Kluyveromyces lactis: one gene and its partners. The protein of the gene in region 1 purifies or fractionates together with the protein of each later gene. This does not show direct contact. Links are inferred from orthologs where the notes say so. Each region holds a gene or a part of one and is shown on either strand. Other genes may lie near its edges.

Region 1 (4,850 bases):
TCCTGGCATTGGTGGCACCTTGGTACCGCCTAGTACAACAATCAAGAACAATCTTAAAGATAAAGGAAATGGTAGATTAAACACAAACATTATATCCACTACGGGCAGGATCGTTTCACCATCTATAACCGAGGGCGATAGCTTTAATCTGAGTGAACACCGGAAAACTCGTTCCCGAGAAACTTCTGTTAATGAGAATAGTGATTCTCCTCCGATCACCATTCCACAAAAGAGAAATATGAAGGAGGATGATCCGACCAATATGGATAGAAAGAGCACTTTGCTACGCAACGGCAAAAAGCTTTCAAGTCATTTCAATAGTTGACCTTCCTTTAATTTATTTCATTGCCAGGATGGAATCAACTTCGGATTCAATTTATCTTTCGCTGAATTTGTGAAGATGGTTGGCAAAATGTGTTATGAGTCTTTTACGATACTGAAATGGTTTCCCATTTTTGTTGATGTTCTTTTCATCGCAGCAATACTCATCAATATTCACTTCATAATGTCTAGACGGAAATTAGACATTAATTGACCCACTTTTAAGTTATTGAATCACTACCCAAGATTACAATGAAAAAGCATGTAGTATTAAAGTATAGTTTCACTACTTAAATGTTTCAGGATTTTGCATTACTTTCCTTCAATTGTGCCATCTTTACTCTTACAGGTTAGCCGCCCTATATAGCTATACTTAATTGGTTGCCATAAAATGGAGCAGCTGATGCTGTCTGCTTCTAGCGTCATTTTATAATATTGAGATGAGAGATGCTGCAACATTAGTTGAAAAAAAATCCGTACATCGTAGAGGAAGCAGAAGTTATGCAAGATTATATAGTTAGTTCTCTAGTAGCCAATTAACTTATAACGTAGCCGTTGAAAGGCAATGGCGGCGGTGGTGATACGTGGTCTGACTCTCTCTGTAATACTACCGACTCTTTGAATGAATCATTTTCATCAGTAGCAGAGAACATCTAAATTTTACCCGGATTTGAATTCTTCTGATTTCTTTTGATTAGTGAATATTTCTTCATCTCATCTCATCTGGTAGTCAAAGACAGTAATATATTGGAGGGCAGTACGATTCGCCCCGTTTTGAATCCCCCGTAGACTACCAGCTGACTCTAATCCACCATGTCTTCAGAGGATAAGGATACGTTACTTTCCAGTTTGGTTCAAACTGTGAGATCATCGAGTGCATTGGCTGCACAGGATATCGATTTCTACAAAAGTTTAGATTCCAACATTAATGCATCATTAGAAGACACTTCTACGAACATTTTATCGTTAATCAACGACTTGCTTTTGTCTATTGATCCCAATAATGATGTAATTCAGCAAGGGAAAGACAGTTTTGTGGATTCTTGGAAATCCATAAGTAATATTATGGATAATTTATTTGAAAAGTCTGATCATGCACTTGACAACATTAGAGCCGGAAATGGTGGAAACGCTGGAGGTCCATCACTTAAGTATCTAAATGATGATGATCGTTCGAACAATAAACCATCCAAGAGGATTGAAAAACCTCAACTAAGTTTTAAAACTCCTGTAGATAACACAGAACTTCATCCTTTCAAGCCATTATTGGAATACAAACCCCATAGTTTACAACCGTTCGAAATTTCATTGAAGATGGTCCCAGAAGAGGAATCCATCCCGTCCCATTACCCACATCCATACGAATATGAGATCGACCACCAAAAATACAATGACTCCATTCTTGTTGCAACAGAACCGATCCCATCAAAGGACTGGGATGAAACTGAAGCAATTTGGGTTGACACCGTTGAAGGCCTTAACAAAATGAAAGATGAATTAAGTAAAGCCACAGAATTAGCAATCGATTTAGAACATCATGATTATAGGTCTTACTATGGTATAGTTTGTTTGATGCAAATTAGTGACCGGGAGCATGATTGGATTGTAGATACTATTGCATTGAGAGAGGAACTTTACATATTGAATGATATCTTTACCGACCCTAATGTTACTAAAGTTCTGCACGGTGCATTCATGGATATCATATGGCTTCAACGTGATTTAGGCTTATATATTGTTGGCCTTTTTGATACTTATCATGCCTCCAGGATGTTAGGTTTTCCAAAACACAGTCTGGCCTATCTTCTCGAAAGATTTGCTAATTTCAAGACTTCAAAAAAATATCAACTGGCAGACTGGAGAATCAGACCGTTGACCAAGCCTATGCTTGCATATGCAAGAGCTGATACGCATTTTCTCCTAAATATTTTCGATAAATTAAGGAACTCTCTACTGGAACAGAATAAGATGTCCGATGTTTTGCATGAATCGAGAAAAGTGGCTAAAAGAAGATTTGAATATAGTAGTTTCAGACCAAAGGTTCCGTCTTCAGCAGTGTTTTCACCTATTGAAAAGGATGAACCTTGGAAGAATATTATGTTTCAGTACAATATTCCGGCTTCAAAGGAATTACTTCTCCGTAGACTTTATGAATGGAGAGATACAATCGCCAGGAGGGATGATGAATCTCCTCGTTACGTGATGCCAAACCAACTACTTGTATCGTTGGTGGCTGGTGCACCAACCGAACCCATTAACGTATTGTCTGTCAGCTCATACGTTTCAGAGCATTTAAGAACAAATTCGAAGGTCATTGCAAACTTGATCAAAAGAACTTTAGAGGATCTCAAAGGAAATTCCAACTCTTCTGCGATCCCACTTTTGGAATCGGCCGAAAGTAACGGCACCGATCTGGCCAATATAATAACAACGTCCCAAATTAAATCCATTCAGAATATATTTCATTCACTTGCTTCGGAAATAAACTCTCAAAAGCTGAATAACGAACAAAATTCAGAGAAATCTGTCCTATTCAATGGTATTTCAAACTTGGATGTGAATACTGCCGTCAGATATACACCAAAGACGAGAACGCTCATTCCACAACATGAATTATTAAAGCGTCAGCATGAAATAACAAGGACGTTAGAACAAGAATACACTGACCGACAAGCTCAGAGTATTGTGCTACCGTCAAATGAGGATGAAGCTCCTACGCAAGTATCTAACGATGAAAACAGAAATGAAGTCATCACGTCTGATCCTTCTCAGGAAGAGATTGAAGAGAACAAGGATGAAGTAATTACGTTGCGCAAAAGACAATCTCAATCTAACAACAAACGAAAGACTATCAGTCCACCTGCAAGTCATGAGATTATGGATTATGCTGCTGGCTCCGACCTATTGAACTCAACAAAGAATAATACAAACTCACAGAAGCATAAAAAAAGAAGATTCGATCCTTACTCTGTTGAACATGTCGGTCCACAGCCTATCAAGAAAAAATCAAAACCTGCCAAGGGTAAGAACGTCTCATTCAAAAGATAGAGCATCTTGAGCAGCTCTAATGGTATAAATATCGAACTAGTCATATTTACAGGTTAATTTCGCTCACTAATTCGTTTGCGTAATAGTTTTTTTCCTTAGAAATAGCTACTTCTGCCTAGGCATTGAGACACAGATTGGATAACTTGAGCTTTTCTGAGACTGCCCATAAGATCCTCCAGTTGCAAGGAGTCTTTTCACAGTAGTCAGTCTATCCTAATTTCTTCATCTATAGTCATGTGCAGTGCATCAGATTAGCCAACAGTTCTCGAAAATGTTGGAACTGACAAAAAGGAATGTTGATATTCAAATTTTGTTTACTACGCGGAATTATAAGAGTGTATAAATAAGGGTATCTCATGGCATTTAAAAGAGATTTAGCCCTAAGTAGTATATATAATGAGATTGAATTTTTAATGCATACTGCAATGAACTGCTTTGATCAAACATAAAGAGCAGAAAAATTAAACGGGTACGACTCCAAGAGCTTATCTATCCTATTATCTGAAATCCTAGTTTGAACTATGAGCACTAGAAAACGGTCCGTTGTTACTGAAGAGACCGCCCTCATCGAAGAGACCCCGGGAACGAAGAAAACTGTAAGAGTTTATGAGAGAAGGGTTTATTCCTGGGATGAAATTCCAGATTGGCAAAAGGATAATGAGCACATCCTGCATGGCTATGTACGAGAGACCCAGAGCTGGAAAGAGCTTTTCCATTCATTGTTCTATCTTCACAATGAAAGTGTTAACATATACACACACCTTATACCTGCAGTAGCCCTTTTCTTTATTATGCTATTTGCTACGCATCATGTTATCAACGAGTACCCTACGACTTCAGCAATTGATTATTTTATGATAAATCTCTTCTTCTTCGGGTGCGCAACTTGCTTGACGATGAGTAGTATGTTCCATACCATTAAATGTCATTCTTTACCAATTGCAACTTTTGGTAATAAGTTAGACTATTTAGGAATCGTTGTGTTAATATCTACGTCCATGATTAGTATATTGTTTTATGGATTTCACGATAGCAGTCTTTTGTTTTATCCATTTGCGGGTTTGACAAGTCTCTTCGGGTTAATTTGTGGCTACATGTCGTTAAAGGATAAATTCAGGTCTAGAGAGTGGAGACCTTACAGAGCCACTATGTTTGTTCTATTTGGACTTTCTGCGGTGTTCCCGATAGTTGCTGGGTTTATTGTCTATGGGAAAGATGAGACATGGAAGAGGGTTCAATTGACATGGGTCATTTGGGAAGGAGTTCTATACATTTTCGGAGCATTCTTATATGGAGTTAGATTTCCCGAAAGGCTTGCCCCGGGAAAGTTCGATATTTGGGGACATTCACATCAACTTTTCCATGTACTAGTAGTTGTTGCTGCTCTATGTCATTTAAAGGCACTAGTCGTCTCTTATGGGCTGGTCCATCAAGCTTTGTCACAGTGACCTGATAAAAAGAATACTCTAACATTATATAGT
Region 2 (2,993 bases), about 1.5 Mb from region 1:
AGTTTCACAATTTCACCACAACAGAGAGATTTTTCTTTTGGTTCCATAGAGCAAAAGTTAAACGAGCTGACAATGGAATCTGATCAAGAAGATCAACTAGAAAAACCATTGGTGCAGAATAAGGCAACTAAATCTAGTCTTGAAGATTCAGATAATGAAGACAACGAATTAATCTCAGATATCATGGAATTTGCAAGTATAATAGACTTTGGACAAGATATCGAGTTAAATTTTGATCTCTATTCTGACAATCGTTCACACTATGAAACTCTAAATCCGGTCAAAGAATCTGTGAAAAACTCTCTATCCAAGCCCAGCTTCAATACTGAGACAGAAAACTCATTTCTTGTGGAACTTACTAACTCCCCAGAAATTAAGACAAACAGTTCAGTACTCAACCAAAAACAGACTGGTTTGGATGATCAGAAACACATATCAAGTACTATAAAAACAAGAGACACATCACCAGAAAATGTTAGCAGTAGCAACCAAAACACTTTTTCTGATAGCAGTTTATATTTTGATAATTATGATGAGGAAGATTTTGAGAACGAAGATTTTAATGGCATACATGCAGTAAAAGAATCCCCAAAGATCAACGCATTTTTACCAGATATCACAACATCGATGAGCAGGCCTATATCGATGTCTTTTAGGGGTTTGAAAGCGCCACAATTCAACAGTACCATGGAACTTTCAGGGCTTACGGGACTTGAACATATCTCAGATCAGATGTCGAAGAAATCGGAAGAAAGATCTAGCTATGCAGCAAAACTTGTTAAGTTTTCCTCTCAAATAGTCCTTTATGAGACCTATGGTGAACTTGAGTATGATAGGCATCCTGATTCGGCAACATGCAATCAACTTACTCCTCAATTGGCCCAAATGATAAAGGACGAGCTGAATGAGCTTAAAGCAGAAATGGACATTCACGAAGATTCTATGTGCAACACTCACTTCTTTTAGTAGACCTATAAATACATGTAATCATAGTAGTTAAATCATTTACCATGCGTTTCTATGTTTCCCTTTATATGGATTCAAATCGTGCACGTAGCTTTCGTGTTGAGCCCGCTTTGAAAGCTTTGGTAATATTACCCTACTATTTGAAAATAATTCTAACTTGTCTTCAACATCTCCCAAATTTTGAAAATTGTTTCACTCATTATGAAAATGATAAAAAAAGAGCTGCTTTATGCGATGAGCTAACAGTAATACCAAACTAGCTTAAATATGGCCTGTAAGATAATAAGAGTGTTTGATAACAGTAAGGTTTGTCTATATGCATCGTTATAAAATGAAGCCTTTTAAAAATTTCCCCCAGACTGTTATACCCGGTGATCTTATATGTCCAATATTTGATGTTGATGATGATAACAAGCAAGAAGTGGTAATACGCTTCCTAACGGGCACTGGCTGTAAACAGGAGAATTTTAGAGTTAACGGCAAGAACGTTGATATTATCGTAGCCACATTAAAAGGTTCTGTATCTGTGGAAGAAGTTCCAGCAGATATTATCGAAGACGACGATCAAGAAGACTCAGAGAATACGACGTTTGTAGAATCTCATGAGACCACCGGAGGGGATGCAAGCTCTGGCAATAGTAGAGTTATAAAAAGTTTCAAAGTATCAGTATCAAATCCTAGCAAGTTTGCTAGCAAGTATGTTGATGACCAGTTTGTCAATAACCTTCCGCAAGAGGGCGATATCGTACTGGCGAGGGTGACCAGAATCAGTTTGCAAAGAATAACAGTTGAGATTTTAGCAGTTGAGAATTCGCCCTTGCCGATCGACTCTGGTGTCGGAAGCAATGGGACTGGCATAATTGCTGCTGCTGGTGGATCTGGTGCGTCTACGTTTTCCGTTTCGCAAGTGTCCGCGGATTTGGGAGAAACTTTTAGGGGCATAATTAGATCCCAAGATGTAAGGGCCACTGATAGAGATAGAGTAAAAGTTATGGAAAGTTTTAAACCTGGGGATATAATACGTGCTCAAGTGCTCTCACTTGGCGATGGTACCCATTACTATTTAACTACAGCAAGGAATGACTTGGGCGTGGTGTTCGCTAAGTCTTCTAACGGAGCTGGAGAACAGATGTATGCAATTGATTGGCAGACAATGATTTCACCAAAGACCGGAGTCGCTGAGAAACGAAAATGTGCAAAGCCCTTCTAATATAGTCGGAACACAACAAGCTTTTTGTTCAAGTCTATAGGTACCTTCACATACATACATTTACAACTTTCATTTACATTTACATTAGTTTCGTATTAGGCTTCACGCATATTGGGAATATTGAGGAAGTTTCTACTAAGATCATTGTGAATTCAACGCCTGAATATCATATGTTATTATCAGAAAAGTTAGTTGGACTTTTAGTTGATTGGGAATTTCAACTCATCGTGGTCACCTCTTAAATCATATTCACTCAGTCCAACTTTTTTTCCGAACTTCTCAAATCTTTGTAGATAATGCTTTCTCTTCTTCTCTGCAATTTGAGTTAGGACAGGCCAATAGGCTTCATGATTATATTTGAAGTCGAGGTTACCACCATAAAGCGTCTCGAGTTGATCAGGTGGCACATAATTTGGAAATGGTTCATCAAAAACCAATTTTTCACGAGTCAACGGATCAATAAAAGGATGGATGAGCTTCAAAAAGGTCCACGCAAGCCACGGGATATTAGTTAATAATGCTTTCCCTAATCTTTCTGGATAATGTGTTTGTAAAATGTGTAAAACCTCTTTACCGGTCCCTAAAGGAGGAATCTTTGAGTTACCTTGAACCTTTGGAACATCAGGATAATCTTTGAAATCTATCAACAAAGCCAATGAATCTTGCCCAGGAGGCATGAAATCAATAACACGTTCAAGCATATATACAAGGTGCTGGACTTGTCTATGGGAGGTTGCTGTGTTTTGCCTACCAGGCTTTAAGTACAATATAGGCCTTGAATCGTTATCGAAACCCAAAACAACTTCCTTCCCAGTCA
Region 3 (2,959 bases), on another chromosome or scaffold:
TGGTTGGAAGCATTATTTTCTTTTTGCAGCTCCCGTACAGCCGCCTTGCTATATGACAATGACCCTAGATCACTCTGGTCTACGATTAGCATCGTAATGCTACCGCGATCTGATGTCAAAGGTTTCCTTACAAAGAGAGCCAAAACTTATGCATCAAATTTTTTAAGATTGGATTGCCGTAACTTTAGTCAATACTTTTCCTCCCTCTTCTGAAGTATGTACGAGATAGTACATTAAGTTCAATATACTCGTTGTTCCCTATGTAAAGATGTATGTTGGCCTTATTCAACGGCTTTCTGCCTTGATGTTCTTGTTTTTACGATTCAATCTCTCTTAGATTGTTAGTTTTTGTTCAAGAAAAAAGATTGTAGGTTAACTGTCATTCATGATATTCTGTCCTACTGCAACTTGTTTGAATCAATGGACATTCCAAGTTATATGGTTAGACTTTGAGCAATATTCGCAGAGTAGTTTGATTTTAATCAGAGTCCTGGGCTATTGGTGGGGTGTAATATCAAAAATCTTTATAATTTCTGCCAGATGCCTGGAAGAAACGTTACACTAACAGAGTCGGTTTAATTCAAAAATGTACTTTGGTCATCCTTTTCTTCGGTGGTTCAACCAATGAACGAATGACTTGCCTTGATTCTTGAAACCTATGCATGAAAGAGCTTCTGGTGAGAGCATTAGCGAGGGTTCGGCTTTCGATCTGGTCCAAGTGAATAGCTTCTGACTTTGTCTTGATGATACACCCAGAAACGATACTGGCTTTTGTATGTACGACTGGCAAGGCGGGTTAGAGTGGGGTGTTTTAGTTGCCAAATCCCAGGTTGTGAGGGGGGGGTCTCCGTCTGCCCCTCCACCGGTTTGCGAAAACGGTCACCTGGCATGAACCGGAAACAAGTGCTGTTTGGAAACATATGAGAAACATATGAGAAACACCAGTTAGTCACGTGGTTATATAACTTCACAAAGCAGTTCTCTCCGTTTCCTTCTGACGTATGAGGTGATGAGCCGAAAGCTAGTACACGACTCTTTTTCAGAAATACGGATCTATTACTATTTACTGGTTTGACAATACCGGGCGACAGCCACTTCTTCTGTTTAGAAATCATTTCACACGTACTGATCGTCGGTTGATTTGTAAAAAAGTTCCAATGCTGCCTGCCGATAATTTGGAAACAAGTACGGTACGGAAACAAACGGGAAACAAATAGGAAACACATATATATTATCACGTGATGACGTTAGAATTTTTCCATCTCGACTATTTCAATCGTGGTATTCTGTTAGTGACCGTTTTGCAAGTGAATATACATGCGATGAGATGCTTCCAAGTTGACGTTGGCTAGTGCCATATCAGCATATATTTACTTGAGTTTGTTTCCCATCGTTATATTAAACTAATACCCACAGAAGAGAGGTCTATTAATGAGTGTGCAAGATAGAAGAAGAATATTAGGGCCAGCAGAAGCGAAGCCATTGCAGTTTGCTGCAATTACTCCTGTAAGAACCGTAGAGAACAGGGACGATGGTAATGGTAATAAATCGGGTAAGGAATCTGTGTTCATTAGTACGGATTTAGTAACGAATGCAAATGGTTCCTCATACCTAGAATATATGGATGGTACTTCGGATCAAGTTCTCGTAATGAGTTCTGTCTTCGGACCCAGGCCATTGCGAGGCTCCTTCCAATCTAAGGCATCAGTATCGATTCAGTTCAAAGAAGTTACGTTAGAACATTTGAATACCGGAGAAATTAAAGAAATTTGTACTTTCCTAACAAATGTCTTTAATGCGGTGATAAACGTTGAGAAGTATCCAAAATCTGGTATTGATATCTTTATAGATTTGATCCAGCATTCTAATAGTAATCCAACAGAGGAGGCAAATATCGTTAATATTCTACCCACATGCATTAATTCTATTACCATGGCTCTTGTAGACGCAGGTATTGAAATCATTGATTTAGTGAGTGCCGGGTCAAAAGATAACTCTGTGGTTGCGTTTATTAGGAATGGACATGAAATCGTCGGTATTTGGAGCGATGACGATAACGTCACTGACATATCAAAATTAATAGAAGAGTGCAAGGCAAAATATTTGGTAAATAAGCAGACTTTGGTTCAATATCTTAAATGAAATGAAATGGTTAACGTAATTTCATAGTGATTCATAATTAATGTGACACGAACGCTTCTTCTGTATTAGCAAAATAAAAATATACAAGGCTTTACCATTAAGGGTGAGGATTCGTTAGAAACATATCCTATTTATACATGGGTTGATACTTTAGATATAGTTAAGTACAATAGAATGCGATTTATTCCAAGTTATCTAACACTTGCTTGATTTGCCATACTTTTTTGGTGATAATATCGATATCAAAATTGGTACGTTTCATGTAAACAACGGAAACATCGGTGTCCATAGTAGACTTATACCAGTTTTGTAATGTTTTCCCAGTGAAATATTTGTTCCTATTCAAATCAAATTTATTATCATTGATTAGAACACCACATTGTTTCAAGAACTGCTTCGTGGTAGCAATTAATTGGTCCACGTCTTTTACAGTTTCTTTAAATTGAGGGAATAATAACTTGAAAGGTTTCGAGATCATAACAACATCGTGACTGTTAGCACTGTGGTATCTAAATTCATAAATACCTTCTTCAAAGCAAAGGATACTCTTATCGAATTTTATAGATCCATAAGTGAAATGGTCATTTGAATCGAAATGCAAAATCTTCTGATGATCTTCAGAATATGAAGAGCTCGAAGATACCGCCGACCAATGTCCTTGAGATGGTATCTTTGTAGTTAATCTATCTTCACCAGTTTCAACGACTTTGTAAAGTCCAATCCAGTCATCTTTGTGGAAAGCTTCATTGGTAACGGCCCATTTGATTTCGATTTCTTCTGGAATCCGAATCGTATTTTCGTCATTGATGTTGACGAT
Region 4 (4,485 bases), on another chromosome or scaffold:
TAAGATGTGAAGTGAAGAAGTTAACGGAAGGTGGGCATAAAGGATCGTTAGAGTGATGTAAAAATGATTAGAAATGGGATGCTAAGAGTGGATGAGTGTGACAGCAAAGAGTAGTGACCATTGTGACATTAGAACGGAAACTCCAGGTTGCTTTAAATCGAGAAAGAAGTTGTATCATAAAAGAGGTAGGTAGAGAAGAGAATAAAACAGAATAATGAGTTATTAAATAAAATACAAGGGTAGAATAATAAGTAGTGCAATAGTGAGAATAAAAGAGAGTAGTAAGTAGTAGAAGAGTAGGGAATAAGAGTAGTAGGAGTAATGAGAATGATAGTAGTGGATCAAAGGAAATTTGAACTGGTCGACTTCTTTATATTAAAAAGGATGAGGGAACTGGCGTCCATAGATCCAATGAACAGTGGTTGGAGTGAATAAACTGTCAAAGGCAGTGAATTATGCAAGTGAGTTGTCTGTGGAAGTCAGTGTATTGTTATTAATAGTAGGCAGGCAAACAAGAGCGAATGAAAAGAATCACAAGTTAGATTGCAACTTTTGTTGTTCTCTTGCCCACCTTGCTGTATCTCTAGTGTTTTGAGAAAAGGATTGATTGGTTTTCACGTCCTTTACAAACTTAATCATCCATGGTTGTGTATAGAATTGTTGGAGCCTTCCGTCTGGGTACATGGCAGCAATATCACCCACTATACCGACTGCTGTTCTTGCAATTGAATCTTCTAATGCAACACTTGGATTATCAGCCAATAAGTTGATAAATTGGAAAATTGAACCTGTGTAAGGAAACAATGCATCTGGTTGGTCGTGTAGCCCTGTTATTATTCCTACGTATGCGTCCAATATTGATTCGTATAATTTATATTGATAATCGAGGGCATCAGAAGAGCTATAATTCGGTTTATAGTTTTGAGCCATGACGCACACGGACATAACTTGGGACAAATACTGTATAAAATCTGATCCAATGTTGGTGGCAATATCACCAAAAACAGAAAGGACTGCAGGTTGTAATTCCTTCTTCGCATCTGGAGAAGAAAGCATTTGCCCAAGAACACTCATGAACGATGGAGCGAATTTCTTGAAGTCATCCTCTAAAGAGTTAGAGATATCAGCAATTAGATTGACGGCAGTGATAGAAACTTGGGACTGTACTTGATTTAACGCATTAACCAAATATGGGGAGAAACTTTCCAAATACTTTTCAAAGTTTTTACCCAACGCAGATGCTAGAGCAGAAATAGCGTAAAAGACATCATCTTCCACGTATGTTGTATCATTCTTGCTCAAAAGTTTCATAAATAGATCCATCAACATATCTGCTACTGGATTAACAGATTGTGGGTTCTTTCTAATCACTGCAGCCAAAACAGATAAAATGTTCGATTGTAATTCATGTAAGTTTTGTCTATCTTCAGCTGTTAATTGAGCTTCATCCACTTGCATTGTTTGTCCAAGTTTATCCAAAACAAAAGTGGAAATTGAGGTAGTAGTTTCCCCGACTTGGTCATTAGCGAACTCTACTAAAGTAGTCAAAGCAGAAAATACAGATGCTCTAGCATTATATTCATTGTCTGACCTGTTTGAAGCTTCAAGCAATGCGCTAACAAGAACTGGATAATAATTGTATATCGGAGAAGAAGGGGTATCAGCTAATTGTTCGACAAGGTTGATAATCGTCCAAGAACAATTGGTAGCCACTTTTGGATGGTCTTTTAACCCGATCAAACAAGCGTTTACAACATCAGAAAGATGGTCTTGAGGATCTATAGCAGCAACGACTGAGTCTGCAATTCTGCCGATGCACCATGCTACTGTTTCCTTCACTTGCAAAACTGGATCCGTTATTAGGTTGAGGATAGGTGGTAACGCTTGATGGACTAAACTAGTCAATTGAGTTTTGTCAGGACCGTCCAATATAGAACCAAAAGCCATCACAGCCGCTTCGCGTTGTCTCCAATTGTCACTGGTGATGTTCTGTTCAACGAAGTGCAAGACAGGTTCTACTACGTAGTTACCACAGTTTTGAGCGAATAGTTGCAAACAAGCACCAGCAGACATTGCCACGTTCCAATCATCATCATCCGGATCTTCATTTTGCTTTGTTAAAAGCTGTAATAGAGTTGGCACCACTTCTTGGATGGATACTAGAGCAAAATTGTAAGATTCCAAGCCTGGGTTGGAGTACTGTGACAGTTCAAAAGCAATATCAATTTCTTCTTCACAGATGGTAGACCAAAATTCAACGGCCATTGCTGCCACCTTTTCATTGGATGATTGTATAGTAGCCACGGTCAAAGCGAATAGAGCTTGTTCCATGTAAGGTTTCATGTAGAAATAGTATAGTGACATGATTTTACAAAGACAACCAAATGCGGCCGCTTGAATATCTTCATCCGAAGCCTGGGTAGCTTCACATACGACTTGCATCAAGTAATTTCTTTCACCCTCACGTTCCATATTATTCTTAATGAATGCAAGCGAGTCAGCCAATGCATTAAGCGCGGTAAGTCTGACAATCTTAGAAGTTTCGTTCGACTGTGCACCTTGAACGATAGCGATCAAAATGTTGTTCGATTGATTGATTAAAGTTTCATCACTTTGGTCTGCACTTTCACAGATATAACCCAATGTCAACAAGGAAGCTCTCTTAACATTTTCTGGTTGTTCTTGAGCGGTATTATCTACCATAATCTTCATCAACTCTGGCCATTGATTCAATGGCAATTCGATCTCTGCAATGGCAGCGATCAACTGAGCTGAAGCGTTGGCAACACGAGTCTCTGGATCAACCAACGCTTGTAACGCAAACTGCTTAATATGATGTCTAGACTCTGCATCGACTTGCGTAGACCAACGTTGAGCAAACTGCTGGGCCTTTGTTGGGTTCTTCGAAATCAATTCGTTCTTCAACGTCAAACCTGCTAGAATTCTAGCTTCAAGACGAACGGACACATCGGCCAAGATCTGAGACAAAAGTCCAGCGAATTGCAAGAAATTATCGTTAGATAATTTCTTCAACGTCGTCTCCGCTTGAAGACGGACCGTTGGGTCCGGAGTAATGATAATGTTTTCCAAAAACTGGGCAACCTCGGAAGCTGACATAACGATTTGTAAAGGGTATTATAACTTACTAGTGTTTCCAAATCCTAGCGGGTCGTTTCAATAGTCAGTCTCCAAAATTATAGAAATAAAACAAGGAACTGCAACAGCAAACGGCAAATAATAAATTTTCACACTTGGTTCACTTTATAAAAGTATCAGTATATCGAATAGCGACGTTAGATCTTCCTTTATTCTGTAATTATTCGGCGCCTACTAACGAGTTTCTGAGTATGAACTCTCGATCAAGTGTCTCACGAACCGTTCTCCCTTGCACAAGACACCTAAACGCAAGGATACAAAGTGAAATGTTTCCCTGTTTCTTGGATCCTAAGTTCTTTTGTTTACGAAATGTTTTCTAGTTGTTTTTGTTTGATAAATAGATGTGAAGGAAAGAAATTCTTTGAAGCTTGGGAATAAGCAAAAAATAAGAAAAAGCTGTGTAGCATCTTGTAAAGCGCGTTTGTGCTACGATTTGGAGTGGAATCAGATGGAAAGTAAAAGAGTCTGTTACCCGGATATATTGCCTAGAAAACAATGTATGAACCCCATAAATGAAGAGAAAAATAGGGATCGTGCTCCTGTTTAACGGAGGGTAACTTATATACTGCTAGGGAAGAAAGAATTTTTTGCCACTCAACTGCAAATAGCCGGGTAAATAGTTGGCGTTAGCTTGTTCACGTGACTTGTAATTCGTGTTTCAAACCGAGTAATAAGGGTATTATCATTAGCTATATGGATCAAGGATAATATATATGTAGATATAGATAGTTAGTTAGATGATGCAATAACTTGCGAGACCATCCAGCTCTATGGGGCGTATTTCTTGATCAATTGGTCAACCAATTCGATGTACTGTTGTTCGGCATCTTCTTGGGAAGTGCCCTTCAACAATTCCCAGGCGTCCCACTTGTAACGGTCCTTCAAGTTGAACATGCCTGGTTTTTCCTTGGTGTTGTCACCGACGGTTGCTTGCTTGTATAGAGCATACAATTTCAACAATTCATCGTTATTTGGAGTTGATGGCAATTCATTGACAGCTTTAGCCTGCAGATAAATGTAAGATGCGGTTAGTATGATTATTAAGGGAAATCAAAAGCCATTGCAACAACGATTCCACATACCTTTTCTTCGAATAATTGAGAAACCATTGTGTTTTGAGTGAGTGTCGATATCTGACGTATTGAACTAACACTTGTCTTTCACAAATCCTTCGTTTAGTACCATGTGTAAAGCTTCTCTTGATTTTGTGCATTAGGTATTTATATGTTTTTTCTCACTGAAAACAACTTCCTCCAGTTTTTGCTTACATGGCACGAAACTTTTCATAATGAACGGCATTAGTATTCAGGTAAGATCTAACAGCTGATG

What was found. Proteins that work in one complex are often made in the same cells at the same time.
Region 2: the proteins of RRP6 (region 1) and CSL4 purify together in Saccharomyces cerevisiae (affinity purification with mass spectrometry; 13 studies listed by BioGRID, with this or other methods). This does not show direct contact. The link is inferred for Kluyveromyces lactis from reciprocal best matches to the Saccharomyces cerevisiae genes RRP6 and CSL4.
Region 3: the proteins of RRP6 (region 1) and MTR3 purify together in Saccharomyces cerevisiae (affinity purification with mass spectrometry; 9 studies listed by BioGRID, with this or other methods). This does not show direct contact. The link is inferred for Kluyveromyces lactis from reciprocal best matches to the Saccharomyces cerevisiae genes RRP6 and MTR3.
Region 4: the proteins of RRP6 (region 1) and KAP95 purify together in Saccharomyces cerevisiae (affinity purification with mass spectrometry, with the first as the bait; 6 studies listed by BioGRID). This does not show direct contact. The link is inferred for Kluyveromyces lactis from reciprocal best matches to the Saccharomyces cerevisiae genes RRP6 and KAP95.

Annotation. Positions count from the first base shown.
Region 1 is NC_006040.1:113,579-118,428, forward strand, and holds RRP6 (exosome nuclease subunit RRP6), read left to right. Parts: upstream 1-1,134; coding exon 1,135-3,369; downstream 3,370-4,850. Other genes in the region: PHO80 (Pho80p), read left to right, coding at 1-325; IZH2 (PAQR-type receptor), read left to right, coding at 3,891-4,817. UniProt on the Saccharomyces cerevisiae protein: Nuclear-specific catalytic component of the RNA exosome complex which has 3'->5' exoribonuclease activity and participates in a multitude of cellular RNA processing and degradation events.
Region 2 is NC_006040.1:1,659,302-1,662,294, reverse strand, and holds CSL4 (exosome non-catalytic core subunit CSL4), read left to right. Parts: upstream 1-1,282; coding exon 1,283-2,176; downstream 2,177-2,993. Other genes in the region: BNI4 (Bni4p), read left to right, coding at 1-966.
Region 3 is NC_006042.1:1,688,370-1,691,328, reverse strand, and holds MTR3 (exosome non-catalytic core subunit MTR3), read left to right. Parts: upstream 1-1,431; coding exon 1,432-2,142; downstream 2,143-2,959. Other genes in the region: CHO2 (phosphatidylethanolamine N-methyltransferase), read right to left, coding at 2,324-2,959.
Region 4 is NC_006038.1:508,799-513,283, reverse strand, and holds KAP95 (karyopherin beta), read right to left. Parts: upstream 3,118-4,485; coding exon 532-3,117; downstream 1-531. Other genes in the region: long-chain fatty acid transporter ACB1, read right to left, coding at 3,925-4,161, 4,239-4,265. UniProt on the Saccharomyces cerevisiae protein: Importin beta subunit that functions in nuclear protein import through association with the importin alpha subunit, which binds to the classical nuclear localization signal (cNLS) in cargo substrates.